Linked DNA regions of Notamacropus eugenii. The protein of the gene in region 2 interacts with the protein of the main gene of each other region in a biochemical or structural test. Links are inferred from orthologs where the notes say so. Each region holds a gene or a part of one and is shown on either strand. Other genes may lie near its edges. The genes, in order: SRC, ERBB2 and SUPT6H.

Region 1 (5,743 bases), on a different chromosome or scaffold from region 2:
TGACGGTTGAATGATAAGATTTAACAACAAATTGGATATGTGGAGTGAGTGAAGGTGAGGAGGCAGAGATAACAAGGCTGCAGTCCTGGGTACCCAGGAGGATGGTTGTGCCCTTAATAGAAATAGTGAAGTTCAGAAGAGAGGACAGTTTGAGGGAAGAGATAACGAGTTCTCTTTTGAATATAATGAGTTTGAGGTGCCTAAAAGAAAATTGATTTCAAAATGTCTTAAACCCAGTTGGTGATGCAGGGAGAGATGAGTTCAGGAGAGAGACTGGAATCATCTGCATACAAATGATCACTGAACCCTGGGAAGTTGATGAGATTACCAAGTAAGACAGTATAGAGGGAAAAGAAAAGAGGGCCCAGGGCAGTGCAGGGCAAATAGACTACTTGTTGTTGTGTGAACTTGGGCAAATTACTTATTCTCTCTGGACCCCAATTTCTTCATCTGTAAAATTTATAAAATTCAAGGGTCTCAAAGGTCTCTCCCAATTCTAAATCAGCGCTTGTGTGAGCTAGAGGGAAAATTGACAAAGGAATAGTCAGTCAGACAGGAAAGGAACCACAAAAGATGAGGGTCACAAAAACCTACAGAAGAAAGAATATCATGGAAGAGAAAGTGATGAACAGTAGAAAATGATGAAGAGAGGTCAAGAAGAATTGAAGAGAGGCCTTTAGATTTGGCAATTAAATCATAGGTACTTTTGGAAAGGTTTTAGTTGAGTTATTAGGTAAGAATCCAGATTGCAGAGAGTTTAGAAGTGAGTGGAGAAGTGGAGTGAGAGATAGGGATCACCTTAAGTCCAATTTTCCTTGTTTTACTGATAGGGAAACTGAGGCTAAAAGAGGGAACATTAACTTGTCCAGAAGTATTTCCTTTCCTGGTCCTCTGTTTTTGTTTATGATGTGACCTTTTATGTCTAAATTATGTATCTGTTTGGAACTTATCTTGGTGTGTGGTATGAGATGCTGTTCTAATCTTAATTTGTCAGACTGCTTTTCCATTTTTGTTGAATAGTGAGCCCTTACCCTAATAATTGGTATTATTGAACATTAAACAACTATGTTCATTTTCTTCTACATGTTGTGTAGTTAACCTGCTCTTCCCATTGATTTTTCTCTATTTTAAAACCAATACCAATTAGATTTAATATTTACTTTTTTGTAATATAGTTTGTGATCTGGTACTACTAGGACCCTTTCCTTCTCACCTCTTTTTCATTTTCCTTTGAGATTCTTAACCTTTTGTTTTTTGGTTGTTTTTTTTTTTTATATTTTAACTCTTAAAAAGTAATCCTTTACTAGTTTGGCATAGCATTAAACAAATTTATGAAAGATTGTCATTTTTACATTGGCACAACTTAACCATGAGAAATGAATATTTCTTCAATTATTTCTGTATGGGGTACTTTGTAGTTGCATTCATAGAATTCTTGTGAGTATCTTGTTACCTGGATTCCCAGTATTTTATATGTTCTTTAGTTATTTTGAATGGAATTTCTCTGTCTTCACTAGGTTTTATTGGTACTATATAGAAAACCTGATAATTTATGTGGATTTATTTCTGTATCACTTCATATAAATCTTTTCCATGCTTTTCTGTATTTATCAGAAATACATAATTTCTTATAGCACATTCATTTACTGTAATAAATATTTCATTACATTCATGTACCATAACTTGTTAGCCATTCCTCAGTTGATGGATATCTACTTTGTTTCCAGTTCTTTGCCATCACAAAAAGTACTGCTATAATGCTCGGGGTCAGGGCCCAAGCCCCCTGGATCCCCCTGACCCACGGGCCTCTAATCTGTGGGCCCTGAAGGAAGAAGACTGGAGACAAGATGATCCAAGCAACAACCCTTTATTCAGCTGAGGGTTAGGGTTTATAAAGGCTGATCCACCAATCACATACATGCTGAGCTCATCCCATTACTTCACCTTCTCATGACTATTCCACATCCTTACATCCCCAGTAAGTAAGGAAGCTTATCTTGTTCCTGCAGCTAGTTCCTGGGTTCCCAGGCTCACTTGTAACTTTACTGTACAGGACATCAGTGTCTGCAGGAACATCAGGTTCCAGGGTCACACAGAGCTTCTGCCAGGGTGTGCGTCAGCACCGTTCCCACGGGAACAGGCTTTGCCTCTGACTTGCACCCCCTGGGACCCTCTGGTCCCCTTACACTATAACTTCCTTAGGGTATAAGCCTAATAATGGTGTCTCTGATTCAGAGCATATGGACTTTTAAGTCACTTTATTTGCAGAATTCCAAATTGCTTTTTAACATGGTTGTGCCATTTCACAGCTCCAAAAATGTTTTGTTGTAGCCTCTGTGCTGATATTTTATTTAATGATTTTTCATCAATATTCATAAGTCATGCTGGTCTATAATTTACTTTCTCTGCTTTTTTTCTCCCTCGTTTAGGTACCAAGACTACGTTTATATCATAGAATATTTTTGGTAAGATATCTTTTTCCACTTTTGTGAATAGTTTACATAATATTGAAATTAATTGTTTTTTGAATATTTGACAAAATTCAATTTAAAAGCAATTTGGTCCTGGATATTCTTTCTTTTTATTTATAGCACTAAAAAGTTTTTTTTTAACTGAAATTATGTTATTAAAATTATCTATTTTTGTTGCATCAATCTAGATATATAATACTTTTATAAGTATTCTTTCATAGCATCTAAGTTATCCATTCTGTTGGCATATAATTGGCATAATCATTTTCATAATTTCCTTTATTTTACCTATATTATGAATTTTGCTTTTTAGATTTTGATACATACTGACAATTTGATTGTACACTCCTTTTTTAAAAACTCATATTAATTAACTTAAACTATGATATTTTTTAAAATAAGCTACTACTTTTAATTATCAGTTATTTTTTTTTTGCCTTCAATTTTGTTAATCTCCTTTGACTTTCCAAATTTCTGTTTCTGTGTTTAGTTCTTTTTTTTGTAATGCTTTTCTAGTTTTTTAAATTGCATACCAAATTCATTGTTCTGTTTTTTTCTTTCTTTTGTTGATGGGCATGTTTAGAGACTTTGTAACCAAATCATACTTTATTTGATTATGTCCTGGACATCATTGTATCCTAAGATTTCTTTATTGTTTAGAGCCTTCTTCTCTTTATTCATGTTTCTGGTTTAAATTCCTGAATCAAGAAATTTTGTCAGGGTCAGTCCCTGACTGCTCCTGTACACTTGGATGGGAGAGTGGTTCCCTCTTTTGGACTTTTTTTTGGATATATTTTTAAGTTAGATTTTAATACACTGGTAGCTGCCACCTCTGCTTATAGAAAAATTAGAGAAGTTTTGAGGGAAGAGAACAGTCAGAACACATGAAAGATTACAGTATATCCATTTATCCCTAAAGAATCCCATAATAATTAGACATTGCATTCCCCAGTTGATGAATGGTCAAAGGATATGAACAGGGAATTTTCAGAGGAAGAAATTAAAGGTATCTATAATTATATAAAAAAATGCTCTAAATCACTGTTGATTAGAGAGAAGTAAATCAAAACGACTCTGAGTTGCCACATCATACCTATCAGATTGGCTAACACGACAAAACAGGAAGATGATAAATGTTGGAGAAGATGTGGGAGAGTTGGAACACTAATTCATTGTTGGTGGAGCTGTGAGCTGATCCAACCATTCTGGAGAGCAATTTGGAACTATGCCCAAAGGGCTACAAAAATGTTTATACCCTTTGACCCAGCAATATCGCTTCTGGGACTGTATCCCAAAGAGATCATATAAATGGGAAAGGGTCCCACATGTACAAAAATATTTATAGCAGCACTCTTTGTGGTGGCCAAAAACTGGAAATCAAGGGGATGCCCATCAATTGGGGAATGGCTGAACAAGCTGTAGTATATGAATGTAATGGAATACTATTGTGCTGTGAGAAATGATGAACAGGAAGACTTCAGAGAGGCCTGGAAGGACTTATATGAACTGATGCTGAGTGAAAAGAGCACAGCAATAACCACAGTGTGTGAGGAATTTTTTTGGTAGACGTAGTATTTCATTAAAATGCACAGACTTAAAAAATTTGCAGTGGTGTCTTGAAGCAAAATGCCTTCCACATCCAGAGAAAGAACTATGGAATTGGATCTCAGATAGAAACAGATCGTTTTCTTTTGTATTGTGTTTTGTTTTGTTTTATGGTTTCTCCCATTCATTTTAATTCTTCTATGCAACATGCATTTAATAGGAATGTACGTGTAGAACCTGTATAAGATTGTATACCATCTCAGGGAGGGTGTGGGGAGGAAGGGGGGAATGAAGCGGAAGAAGTGGAAGAAAATCTAAGATATATGGAAGTGATTGTCAAACACTGAAAACAAATAAAATAATTCAGTTAAAAAATAATAAAATAAAATAAATAAAGACATTGAACAGATAGCTGTTAGGGCTAACAGTAATTGCCCTTGCTGCCAATCACTGGTAATTCTTTGGAATCAAAGGATTTTTTTTTTCTTTTGGAGAGATGTTTTCTTTTTACTTCTTAAATTTAAATTCTTTAAAATTTTAAAAACATTTTGTTTTTATTCTTAACTCAAACAGCAAAAAAGTTGATTCTGTATCACAAATCACCATTTCATACCATGTTCTTTTAAAATACATATGTAATTAATTCTCACATTATGTCAAAACTGTCCTGATTATCTATATTGCTTCCTGAACTTCCTTCCATAATCTTCCGTGCATTTAAAACATTGTTGCAGCTGTCTGTTTTGAAAATCACTATTGCTTCATCTTCAATGCTCCTCCCCATTAGAAACCTCAAGAAAGAAGGGGGAAAAACCCATGTTATAAATATGCATAGTAAAGTCAAATGAATCCATATGAAGTCCATGTAATAACAATGTATTTCTCTTTCTGTTTCTTGCTTCTATCACCTTTCTTTCAGGATATGGCTAGCATGGTTTATCATAGGTCCTCTAAAGAAGTCATTGAATTGATCAGAATTCTTAGGTCTTTCAGAGTTGTTTTTCTTTATAATGCTGCTATCCTTGTGTAAATTGTTCTCTTGGTTCTGCTCATTTCACTGTGCATCAGTTCATACTATCCAGGATTCTCCACAATTATCTCTTTTTTCTTATTTTATGTTGCAATTATATTCCATTATATAATATGCCACAGTTTGTTCAGCTATCCCCTAGTTGTCTAAGAGATAATCTAAGGCACACTCTTCCCTCTCAGAGTCTAGTATTTTTCATTTTTCTTCCTTTCATTTCTTTCTTCAGGATCAGGAAGTTCTTTGGTTTGTGATTACTCCTACCCTGTTATTACTCCCTCTCTTCATTCACTGACTCGTTATCCTCACTTGTTTTTCAATTTAATTTGATGTATTTCTGCAATAAACTGTGTGTGAGGGGGTGTGGCAGTATGTGTGTGTGTGTGTGTGTGTGTGTGTGTGTGTGTGTGTTTATATTTAACTCGTTTGAGTAAGGTTCTTCTGATAACCATTCCTTTGCCCCTTTCCTTCCTTCCTTTCAAATAAGGTTACTCTCATACATCCCAATTATGAAAAAAGTTTCACTCCCCCTTCTCCCTCATTTCTATACTAGTGTATTACTCTTATCCTTCTTTCTATTTCACCTCTTAAAGACCTCAGAACCAATGAGCCATTTTTCTTCAATATTCTTTGCTGTGATTCAGTTCTAAAGGGACACATATATTCTCTCCATTAGAATTTAGCCTTGCATCATCATATA
Region 2 (5,743 bases):
CAACTACCAGGGTTTACTCCTCCTAGAAGGAATCAGACCCTAGAAGGATCTTCTCATTTTCTTCCACTTCACCAACAATCTCTAGACCAGTGCAATTCCTAATCCCAAACACCTGCTTTCAGGAGGGAGTTTGGGGTGAGTTTTCAACACTACCCCCATGGTAGAAGAACTCTCCATGCTTCAGAGAGACCCAGTCCCTTAATAATGCCTGCTCTGCCCTCACTTGCTGCCCCCTCCTCTCTGCTTTTCTCTCCCCTGTCTTCCGCCCCAGTTGTTTCACTCCCACCCACACCCCAAAGACTTCCTGCCATCCTCAACAACAGTGACCCCCCCCCCCCAATTCCAACAAGTCTTCCTGACCAGTGAACAGAATTCTGTTCATGGAACATGGATCCTTTCCTGTTCCTTTTCCCCTTTGCCCAATCAACTGAAGACAAGGGAGATGAAATTGTGTGTACTAAAGAAGCATGGGCAATAAAGAGATGCCAACATAAATGATTGCTGCTGAAGGTGGGAGGTGGAGGAGAGATGGTGGTTGATGAAGAGAATCATTCAATTTCTTTTCTCACTGAGAGGACTTCTGAGACTCACCCAGCAAACACTGCTCCAATGCTGTGAGACGAGAATGGATGTATCATGAGCCCTATTTTTATACATGAGGAAATTGTGGCTCCAGCAAGGTTGTTGCAGAGTCCAGAGTCACACAGCTAACAAGCTCCATAGATGGCATTTGAACCCAGGACTTTCTGGCTTAAGTCCAGCATTTTATATTACACCAGAGGGCAAAGGCTGTTTATCTGGGGTCCATGAACCATGGGTTTTTTGGGGGGGAAGGTGTCCATGAACTTGGATGGAGAAAAAAAATGCAGTTATTTCCATTAACTTCTAACTGAAATATAACATCTTTAAATGATTTAAAAACACTGTTCTGAAAAGGGATTCATAGGTTTCATCATACTGTCTAAGGGGTCCAAGGTTGCAACAGAGGTGAAGAACTTCCACGACTTGGGCAAGACAATGCCTTCCTTTTTTTTTTTTTTTTTTTTTTGGTCCCTTGGAAGACTAGACAACTGGGTCAGAATTATTTTTCTAGAAAAAGAGAAATGGCACTCTTCAGGATGCTGCCTTTAGGGAAAGTGAATTTGGGACTGTGACTGACTCTCAGTCTCACAAGTTAGTCATCGATGACAAAATCAAAGTATTTTATTTTGACCTTTGAAATGCAATGAATTTATCTTCCCCATTATACTTTACTTAATACTTAAATGAGTTTACTTCCCTGGAGCACAACCACTAATGCGGGGGAGGGAATGGTGGATAATAGGGGAGCCAACCTCAGTATTAATAATCATAAGCATAAGCTGTAGATAATACACAAATTGAGAATTTACATGGCTTTCAAAGTCAATAATTCCTCAGCCTATGAGATAGGATTCTGGCAAAAGTCTGACCTCTCTGCCTTTTATTCACTCCCCTTGCCCAGACTCTGAAGTCCCTCCTCAATGCCCCTTCCTGTAGCCTCACAGGTAGTTTCCTTTAGGTAGAATTACCTATGACATATCCTTACAGTATGCTGCCCCTGAAGAGACGGGATAGGGAGCAACTTGTATGAAGAACTGACCCTTTGACTATCCCTTCCCCTCCTTCCTCAATACCCCCCATCCCCAACATATTCATCTCCTTTCTCCTTTGAACAGGTCCATCAAGGATTTTTTAAAAATATGAGCATAAGAACAGTAGTAGGGAAACCTGTGGAAACTGAGGCACAAAGGTAAAGAAACTGAGGCAGGGAGAGAACTATAGACCCATATTACCAACATAACAGAAGCTCCCATCAGGCCTCCTTTCTTGGTCACCCAGTTTTTTCAGCAGTTGAACAAAAACATAGTTTCAAGAATCCAGATTACACACTAACTGTCCTGCCTTAGCCAGAATATTAGAGTCTGAAGAGATTCTGGATTGCGGGTCGGGAAGCTAAACATGTGGGGTCAGAGAGGGAGAGCTAAGTACTATGTTCTGGATCCAAATGGAGAGGATGGGATACATTTATTTGGGGCTTTCCAGCAAACCTGACTCAGTCATCTCAAAGATCCTGGGTATGCAAAGAGCACAGTTCCCCAGAACCCAAGTTATGGAGTCAGCGTTGTTTGGTAACACAAAGGAACACACACATACAGACAAAACAGACTTACAGACATTGAGACACACACAGACCCCGCCCCCAGAGGCACATAGAGAGAGACTCAACATCCGCCAAGATCCTCTCCTCAAGTGTATGCTGCCCTCAACAGCCTTCAGTCCTATCCCACCTCATCCCTTTCTCCCTCCACCCTCAATGAAGGAAAAGGCCAAACCAAAAGCAACAGCCCTTACCCTTTCAGCTCCAAGTGGTCCCTTTTAGTTTGCCAAGTCCCCAACCTTTGGAATTCTCCCCCATGCCCCAAGACCACCCCAGAACCCCTCTTTATGTCCCATCCCTTACACCTGCCGAGTTAAGCCCAACAAAATTAAGCCTTTCTCTCCTTCCCAGACTGGCCCAGAAGAAATTTATTCAAAACAACTGTCTCCCCTACCCGCCCCCTCTTTTCTTCCGTCTCTAGGCCTCCCTCCCCACACTAGTGAGTGTGGTAACATCCAAGCAAACCTACAACCTTCTTCTCTCCCCACTCCTGGTCCAACTGGTTATCTCTCTGCCCCCTCCCAACCCCACCCCCCCAGCCCAAGGCAGAATTGGAGTAGTAACAACCTGAGGTAGAGAGTGGGTGGGGGGGCAGGAGAGGAGGGAGGATTGAAGAACAAATTAGGACCCCCCCCCCCCCCCCCAGAAAGCCAGCCCAGCCCAGTTCAGTCTGGAGATTAGTGGCTGTGGATTTTAAGAGTCAAACAGAAGGAACATATGAACGCGAATACACAAACGCACGCGCGCGCGCGCGCGCACACACACACACACACACACACACACACACACACACACACACAAAACTTAGCAGGACTTTTTTCCCCCTTCTGGTCAATTCTGTAAAACTTTTTGACTATTTCCCCGTTTGACAAGAGCTGGCTGGGACCCAAGCCCTATGTCGGGCCCCTTCAATGTAACTTTACCCCCTGCCCTATCTACCTCCCTGATCTGGCTTCATCTCTCTGACTTCATCCCCCCAGGCCCTCCCGGGAGTCCCCCTTCCCCCGGAGGCTTGGTCATATTTCTTCTCTATTGACTCCCATGCTTTCTAAATCTTTGCTTTCCTCACTCCCACTCCTCATCCCTGTCAAATGTGCCCCTAAGTTTTTCTTCCCCTTGAGAATTCTTTGCAGGAAAGGGCTGCAGACAGTTCTCTCCCAGTCGGACTCACCTTGGGTTCCCCAGACTGCTGGGGGCAGGAGGACCAGAAGGAGCCCCCAACAGCAGCAGCCCGACAGATCCATAGTCCTCACTTCGGCCCGGGGCCCATGGCTCCCAGGCTCAGGAGGAGGACCGATGGAACCTAAGAGCTGGGAGATAAGGGGATCCTGGGAAGCACCCCAATCCGGGCAGGAATCCCCTTGAGCGAGTCACTGGCTCAGTGGAGGTATTTTTCTTCTTTGCTGACTTCTCTCTTTTAGCCAGGATTGCAGGGGAATCTCAGCTCTACAACTTCATTCCTGTAGTTCCTCAAAGCAGTCACTGCTTGTCCTCCTCCTCCTCCTCCTCCTCCTCCTCCTCCTCCTCCTCCTCCTCCTCCTCCTTCTCGGGAGCGCGCTGCTCGGTCTCGATCCCGCCCTCCCCCCCCCCCCCTCCCAACTACATTCCAACAAGTCTCTGGGAGTGGCAGTGGCTGCTCCCAGCTTTACTTTCTATCTCCCTGGGTAGGCCTGGGGGTGCCTCAATCTCCCCTGAATCTAGAGACTTTTTTAGAAACCTGTTGTTCCTGGAAGGAGGGGTTGGGGACAGACGGGATACTTTACTTTTGCCATCACCAGGCTTTCCCAGTCTACTGTTACACAACCCTCTAATCTGGAGGGAACCCTAATCAAGGCTGCCTTTCCCCATCTTCTCCTAACCCAGGCTCCCCTTCCCTTTATTAACAAGCTCCATTCCTTTCCCCCATGCTCATCCTCATCTCAATTATCTACTCCAACCCTTTCTTCTAGAACAGGGATTCTTAACTATTTTTGTGTCATGGACCCCCTTTGGCAGCCTAATGAAGCCAATGGAGCCCTTCTTAGAATAATGTTTTTATGTAACTGAAGGAAATGCTAAATTTCAGTTAGATTAGAAGTTAGTGAAAATAAAAGATTTCTTTTTCCCCATCCAAGGTCACAGACCTCCTGAAATGTCTACAGAGCCCTTGGTCTGTGGATGGATCGCAAATTCCAGTTCTTTTGTGGAAGGATAGGGAAGGGAATATACTAAGTTTGAGATATTCTAGGCATCCTCTTCTCAGGCTCTGAGAGAAAAAGGCAGTAACTCAGGCTCAGAAAAGTGACTACTACAAGGTGGGGAAGGGACAGATTTAGTTAATGTTAGTTAAGCAGCCCCCTCAATTTGGTGTCGGACCGAGGCTGCCTCACATGGGTCTCTGTTCAGAGCCTTCTGTATAAGTCTCTCTGGGCCCAGGATTCGTCCATTTGGGGATTTTCTGCGAGTTTTCTCTTTTGAAGATTCTGTGGAGTGTCTGTATGTCCCTTTGTTCACTGTCTTTATGTGGAACTTCTCTGCCCAAGGCATCCTCCATACGTTTAGGGTCTCCTTTGTGAGGTATGTACCCATCTGGGGAGTCTCTGTGCAGAATTCCTTTGGGGGGAATGTCTCTGATGGTCTATAGACTCTCTCTGGGTCCAGAGTCCCTTTTATGGGGCTTCTGTTTCAGGTCCCCTTCATCCCATAAGGATTCTTTAGGTCCTCAGAGTTCTTTCTCTCCAGAGCTCTTTTTTTTTTTCCTAACCAGGATGCTCCTGGTAGGGGAGAAGCAAGGCTATTCCAGTCCATGGTGGGGGGAATATGGGACACACAGAACAAAGATAAACACAAGGATAGCTGTTATTGTCAGTGAAATCTGACTGGCTCACACAGGAGATTTGAAGCCTAGGGAAAGTGAGGGTGTGGGGAGCTGAGTGATACCATCTTAATGAGGGAGAAAGTGTAAAAAGTAAGAGTTGCCCCCCCCCCTTTCCCTATTCTTACTTCTGTTCTCATCCTCCTCCTTCTCCCCAGTTTTCCACTCTATGTGTGAGCTGGGGTGGGAGCAGACTAGGAAGACCAACTAGGTGGGGTAGATGTTAGGCTTTGATTCAGCCTCAATAGTAAGAAATCAAGGACCCCATCAGTGTCCTCTCTGACCAGAAACCATTGGTTACCTATGAAAACCTTGAGGGTGAGGGTGTTAGAACACACGACAAATGGAGCCATTGCAGACCACTTCTTTTGCCTAGGTCGCCTCCTTCCAGACCAGAGTCACCCTCCTAGCCAGAAGTCTTCATTGGAAAAACAATGAGGTGTCAGTGGCTGGCTGAGGAGGAAGGAGGGAGGCAAAAAGAGGGGAGGGGTTAGACAGACAAGAGGGTGGGGGGGGGGGAGGAGGAGCTGAAGTTAGATCTCTGTTCCTGGGGAGGAGGCTCACGGAGGGGCTGGACTCCCGAGACAGAGAATGGGCTTATTCAGAGCTAGGAAGGAAGGGGGGAAAATTCTTGTCTGCTGTTTGAAAGAGTAGAGAAGAGGGGGCAGGGGGTGGGCCCAGCAGATTCAAATCTCCCTTTCCTTGTGCTT
Region 3 (5,743 bases), about 320 Mb from region 2:
TTAGAGTATCTAAACAGAAGTGACAAAAAAAAACCCAACTGTAAAGATAGGTGAGAGTCAGATTATGAAGGTTTTTAAAGACCAGGCTGAGGTGTTTGCATTTCAGCATAGAGTCAATAGGGAGCCATTGAAGATTTAGGAGTAGGGGAGTGACTAAAGTCAGCCTGTGTTTCAGATATGCTAATCCGGGAGCCTGCTGAAGGAAGAGACAGGAAGCAAGGGGGCCAAGAAGGCTTCATCTAAAGTCTAGGAGAGATGAAACTGAGGTCTGGAACTAGAGTGTTAGCAGTGAGTGGAGAGAAGAGGGCAGGGGTGAGAGCTGGTGGAGGTAGAATCCCTGTCAGCAAATGACTGGCTGTGAAGGGTTGACTCTGAGATGGTAAACCTGGGTGACCAAGGAAGCCCAGTGGTGTCCTCCACAGAAATTCAATTCTTATGATCACAAACAGAGTGAATTAGACGCCCTCTAATGCAAACCCGTTGATTTTACAAACAAGGAAACTGAAGCCCAGGAAAGTTAATTGGCTTGTCATTTGAAATCAGTCTGGAAAGACTGGCTAGAGCCAGATTGTAAATCAAGCAATAAACGTGTTAAGCATTTACCATATGTCAGGTACTCTCCTAAGTGCTGGGGACACAAAGAAAAATAATGCTAAAACAAGGAATTTGTCATTTTACCTTAAAAAAAAATTAGAATCCCTGAAATTTTTTGAGCTGAAGATCATCATATTCATGCCAGTTTTTTCAGATTATTTTGATATATATAATTTATACCAAATTGCTTGCCTTCTTAAAGACAGGATGGAATTAAGTGCTCAAAAATTGTTTTTAAAAGAATGTCAAAAATTGTAATTACACGCACCTGGAAAAAATATTGAAAAAGAAAAAGATTATTTAGATAGCTGTGTGTAGAGGATGGGTGAGAGAGGGGAGAAAACGGGACAGAAGCTTCCAGCAACAGTCACCTGAACAAAGGGGATGGCTGCGTGAGAGAAGACAGATGCAAGAAATCTTTCAACTAGTCTCAACGGAAGGAGGGACATGCAGATTGGAGGGGTACGCTGCGCCTCCCCCACCAGCCTAGTGAGGACACTCGTTCGCCACGGCCGGGGCCTGGCTCTCCTTCTTCCCCCCATTCCCTTCCTCCTCTTCCTGTCCACCCAGCTGGGCCAGAGTCCGGAAGCCTTCCCGTCCCCTCCTCCCCGCGACTCCTCCAAGCCCCGCCCCCACGCGTTGCTCCGTCCCTTCCAGATTCCTCGAAGTTCAGGGCTCCTCCTCCCACCCACGTGTTTTTCCGCCCCAGGCCCCGCCTCCCAATGGTTCCCCCCTCCCCTTCCGCCTCGAATGCACCTAGGCCCAGTCCCCGGGGATCCCCCAGGCCAAGTTCCGCCCCCGGGAGGGGACTTTTTCCATTCTTTCCTCTTCCCGGCCCCGCCCCGTGGGCTCACCGGACCCGTAGTGTACGTCATGAGAGTGCAGCCGGACGTTGTGGCGCGTGTTGAGGAGCTTCACGACAGAGCCGCAGGTGACGAAGGGCAGGTCGGAAGCTCCAGCCAGGCCCAGCAACCCCGCAAACAGCAGCAGCTGCCCCGCCGGGCCCCGCCGCCCCATCGCCCTGACGGAAACACGGCCCCACCCCGGAACCGGAAGCAGTGGGCGGGGCCAGGCCTCCGCTCTCTATGCCCCGTCTCGCTAGAGCGCCCGGAGGAAACGGCCGGACTCGCCTGCCTCCTGCTCACGCACGCCCCCACGCGGAGGCCGCCGGCGGCCGCTTTCCTGCCGCGGTCCTAGTTTCCCTTCGCCTGCTCCAGCCCCAGAGAACAGCCCGTCCCTCCGAGTGGCGGGGGAGAGGGCCGCCTGCTCTCAGTGACAGCGCACCGGAAGTGACCTCAGACGCCGCGGCGGCCGCGGGCGTCGGGGAGGGGGCACGTCGGTGTGGGGGCCCCCGGACTCGCTTTCCGTGACTCTGCCAAGCGGCGACTCCATTTTCCTCGGAGGCTCGGCGCTGCGGCGGGCTCGGTAAGGCCGGGGTCGGGGCTCGGCGTGGGGGGACTGCGTGGGTGGTCCGGGGTGCGGCGGGGCGGGGCGGGGGACCCTGAGGGGCGCGGGACTCGCCGCTGGGGCGCCCCCCCGCACACGCCTTCTCGGCTGGGCGGCCCCCGCCCGCCACTTGTTGAGTCCTTGGGGTCCCCCGGCTCCCAGAAGCTGGGGAGACGCCTCCCGGGGTGGCGGGCGGTGCCTGGGCCTGGTTCCGCCTGCGGGTGCGGGGGGACCTCGTGGAGGGTGTCGGCCTTTCGGGGGCATTCCCGTGTCCCTCCGCTGTGTCTGCCGGAGGTCGCAGCCCCTGGCTCGGCTCGAGTTACCCACGCCGCCGGGCGGGGGAGGGACCTTTAAATGGCCCCGGAGGCCAAGCTCAGACCTCCGGGGTCTCGTGTGTGCGTGCCTGTCAGCATCGCCTGCATCAGTGTGGCGCTTACTGTGTACCAACCCGTGCCCAGCGCCCGAGTTACAGAGAAAGGGCAAAGAAAGGCCAACACCCAGTCCCTGCCCTCAAGGAACCCCCAGTCCAACTGGGGAGGTCCGTGCTAGAGACTGTACCAGCTAGGTGCTGGCCGGAGAGAGGCCCGAGGGATCCTTCGGTGTGTTAGCGTGTACTAAGTACTTACTGGGTGCCAAGTGCCGTGCTAAGTGGTGGGGAGGCCGAGAGGAGGCGTGTACCTTCTATTGGAGGAAGCAGGTATGCTGCAGGTACTCCAGAGTGGGTGGAGGTCGTCTGAAGTGGGAAGGTTCTAGCTAGCCGCTGCGGCTTGGGAAAGGCCTCTTTTGTAAGGTGGGATTTGAGCTGCCTCTGGTAGGAAGCCCGGAAACTCGGAGGAAAAGGCAGGAGACTGAGCATTCCCGGCCTGGGGGACGTCTGTGACAGGCCACGGTCCACCCCCACCGTAGGGGAGAAGGAGAGGGGAGACTGAGCGGTATGTCTGAGGAACTGGAAGTAGGTCAGGGTGGCCCGCTGCACTATTGAATCCTTGCTGAACAGGTAGGAAGGAGCCGGCTTGTGAAGAGCTTTAAATGTCAGATTTTATGTTTATTCCGGGAGATGATATGGAGTCGCTGGAGCTCGTTGACCAGGGAAGGGACAGATTTTCCTATCTGCAATGTAAGAAAATCACCTTGGCAGCTTAGGATGCACTGGAGTGTGTTCCTCCTTGCTTGCCCAAGAGGTCCACGCCATCAGAGAAATGAAGACATGACTTGCACTTGACTTTGTTCTGAGTGAGGGAGGGCTGTGCAGGTCACCAGCCTCACTTCTTCTCCAGAGCCATCTGAATCCAGTGACCAGATATTCATCAGAATGACTGGAGATGACCCAGGATGAGGCAGTTGGGGTGAAGTGACTTGCCCAAGGTCACACAGCTAGTGAGTGTCAAGTGTCTGAGATGAGATTTGACCTCAGGTCCTCCTGACTCCTGCACTGGTGGTCTATCTACTGCACTGCTTAGCTGCCCCTAGGATGCATTGGAGTAGGAAAAGATTTGAAGCAGGGAGACTAGTTAGAAGGTTATTCCTATAGTGCAGAAAAGAGGTAATTAATTTGTGGCTGTGTTGATGAAGAGAAAAAGACAAATTTGAGAAATGTATTAAATTTTGCAAAATAGAAACAATAAGATTTGGCAATGGATTACTTAGCTGGGGTGGGTGAGAGGGAGAAGCTGGGTAACTGGGAGGTTGTTGGTAGCCTCAACAGTAATAGGGAAATTTAAAGGGGGGGAATATAATGGATTGTGTTTTGGTTTTGTTATATTTGAGATACTTGTGGGACAGCCCAAGATACCCAAGATCCAGTTGGAGAAAGATGATTAGCTCAGCAGAGAAACTGGGGTTGAATACATAGAGCCAGGAGTCATCTGTATAGAAATTATAATTGAACTCATGGGAGCTAATGAAAGCACAAAGTGAGTTAAAATAGAAGGAGATGCAGGATATACTGTTGTGGGATACTCACAGTGGGCATGATCTGGCAAAGACAAGAAGCAATTGTTGGACAGAGGGGAAGAACCTAGACAGAGCTGAGTCACAAAAACCTTTAGAGAAAAGAAGATGAACAGTAGTATCAAATACAGCTTTGAGGTTAAGAAGGATCAGGATTAAAAAGGAGAAAATGCCCTTGGAGTTGGCATTTAGAACTCATTGGCCCAGTGGTAGTCTGGCCATGTCTAATCCCTGCTACTGGGGAGGCTGGATCTCTTGAGCTGCATTGGGCTGTGCAGCACTAAATTTGGCCTTGATGTAGTGAACTCCCCGGGAATAAGGGCCCACTAGGTGACCTAAAGAAGGATGAACTGGCCCAGGTCAGAAAAGGAGCAGGTTAAAGAAGTTTGGCCATCAGTGGGATCAAGTCCCAAGTGGCCCATGCACTTCTAGGGAGAGCCCAGTCTTTTGAGGGAAAGGAGATAGGGGGGCTTACCTGCCAAGGTTCTATGGTTCCTCCAGATAATAAGTGACACCAAACTTGGACCCCATACTCTTTAACTGTATATCCAATGCTTTTTTCATTTCTATTCCTGCCCTTCCTCCCTCTCCTTAACTCTTGTCTGCTGCCCCAGACATCCTGAGCCACCACCTTGGGAGTTTGTCATTATTTCTGTGAGAGTTAGTTAGTAGTTATACAGGTACTAAAAGCCCTGGAGGAAGAATATGCAGTTTAACTGACTCTTGTGGGAAAACATTGTTCCCATACTTCTCTGAAATAGTTGTTATATTATTAAAGAGTCCTCATCTCAGTTCTCTGGCTATCTTGATTCTAGATGGAACAAATATTTGATCTGACCGATACATCCAGCCAAAATGACTGTAATGGAAATAATTAATGACCGTTGGTTTAAGTAGTCTGAATGCAAAGAGTCAGATTAACTCTAGTATTGTTCCCTTTTTGGAATCTGTGTATTGAAGTCTAACTAGACAGGTTCCTGTTTGAGGGAGAAGCTTCTATTTGTCCCAGGCTTCAGTCAGCTAATCCAAGTTCTCTACCCTGACAGACTTGAGAGTCGATCACTTTTAGAGTCTGGTGAAATGTGCAGTGTGTCTGAGTCTATGTGCCATATTAAATGAGGAAGAGATTCCAATCTTTAGGACTTAAACTAGTTGGATTTTGGAAAAGAAAATGGCTTTTTAGATTATTGTTGGTAATAGTAATCAGATTTTTACTTTAAGAACTTTGATCTAAATTTAGATTAGGTAAGGCATTTATTAAAGTCTTTGTGCTAGGTACTGGGCTAAATTGGTCATTTTTTAGGTCCTCATCAATTGATATTGTGTGGCTAAATCTTTTAGCTATATGTCAACTAGAAAGTCCAGTTGGAGTTATTAACCTTTGAGGGTTTTAATACCTTGGTCATGGAGAATGAAGACTGGTGCTAGCTCAGTGATCTCAGGCAAGATGGTAATCTTTCTTGACTTTAGTGTCCTTCTCTGAAATGTAGGGAGCACAAATCCTTGCGTTACCTACCATATAATAACCATTACCTGGTTATTATAGATGAAACGTTATTCAGCTCAATTACTGGGACTGGAGTATTCTTTCAAATTTTTACATTTCAAAATTTATTAAACTGCTGCTGTTTGCAATTCATGCATTTTGCAGTGCAATTTGCATTCAGCTGGGCTGTGATAATAGAAGACAAAAGCGGTTCTACCCTCAGGAGTTTCTGTTCTGCCAATAACAAGATTCCAGAATTTAAAGTAA

The links.
Region 1: the proteins of ERBB2 (region 2) and SRC form a complex in vitro, tested with the Homo sapiens proteins (3 studies listed by BioGRID, with this or other methods). The link is inferred for Notamacropus eugenii from reciprocal best matches to the Homo sapiens genes ERBB2 and SRC.
Region 3: the proteins of ERBB2 (region 2) and SUPT6H form a complex in vitro, tested with the Homo sapiens proteins (2 studies listed by BioGRID and IntAct, with this or other methods). The link is inferred for Notamacropus eugenii from reciprocal best matches to the Homo sapiens genes ERBB2 and SUPT6H.

What each region holds. Positions count from the first base shown.
Region 1 is NC_092872.1:427,960,682-427,966,424, forward strand, and holds the start of SRC (proto-oncogene tyrosine-protein kinase Src), read left to right. Parts: upstream 1-2,434; 5' UTR 2,435-2,465; intron 2,466-5,743. UniProt on the Homo sapiens protein: Non-receptor protein tyrosine kinase which is activated following engagement of many different classes of cellular receptors including immune response receptors, integrins and other adhesion receptors, receptor protein tyrosine kinases, G protein-coupled receptors as well as cytokine receptors.
Region 2 is NC_092873.1:355,231,117-355,236,859, reverse strand, and holds the start of ERBB2 (receptor tyrosine-protein kinase erbB-2), read right to left. Parts: upstream 3,734-5,743; 5' UTR 3,424-3,733; coding exon 3,351-3,423; intron 1-3,350. UniProt on the Homo sapiens protein: Protein tyrosine kinase that is part of several cell surface receptor complexes, but that apparently needs a coreceptor for ligand binding. Essential component of a neuregulin-receptor complex, although neuregulins do not interact with it alone.
Region 3 is NC_092873.1:36,066,764-36,072,506, forward strand, and holds the start of SUPT6H (transcription elongation factor SPT6), read left to right. Parts: upstream 1-1,897; 5' UTR 1,898-2,019; intron 2,020-5,743. Other genes in the region: SDF2 (stromal cell-derived factor 2), read right to left, coding at 1,449-1,611.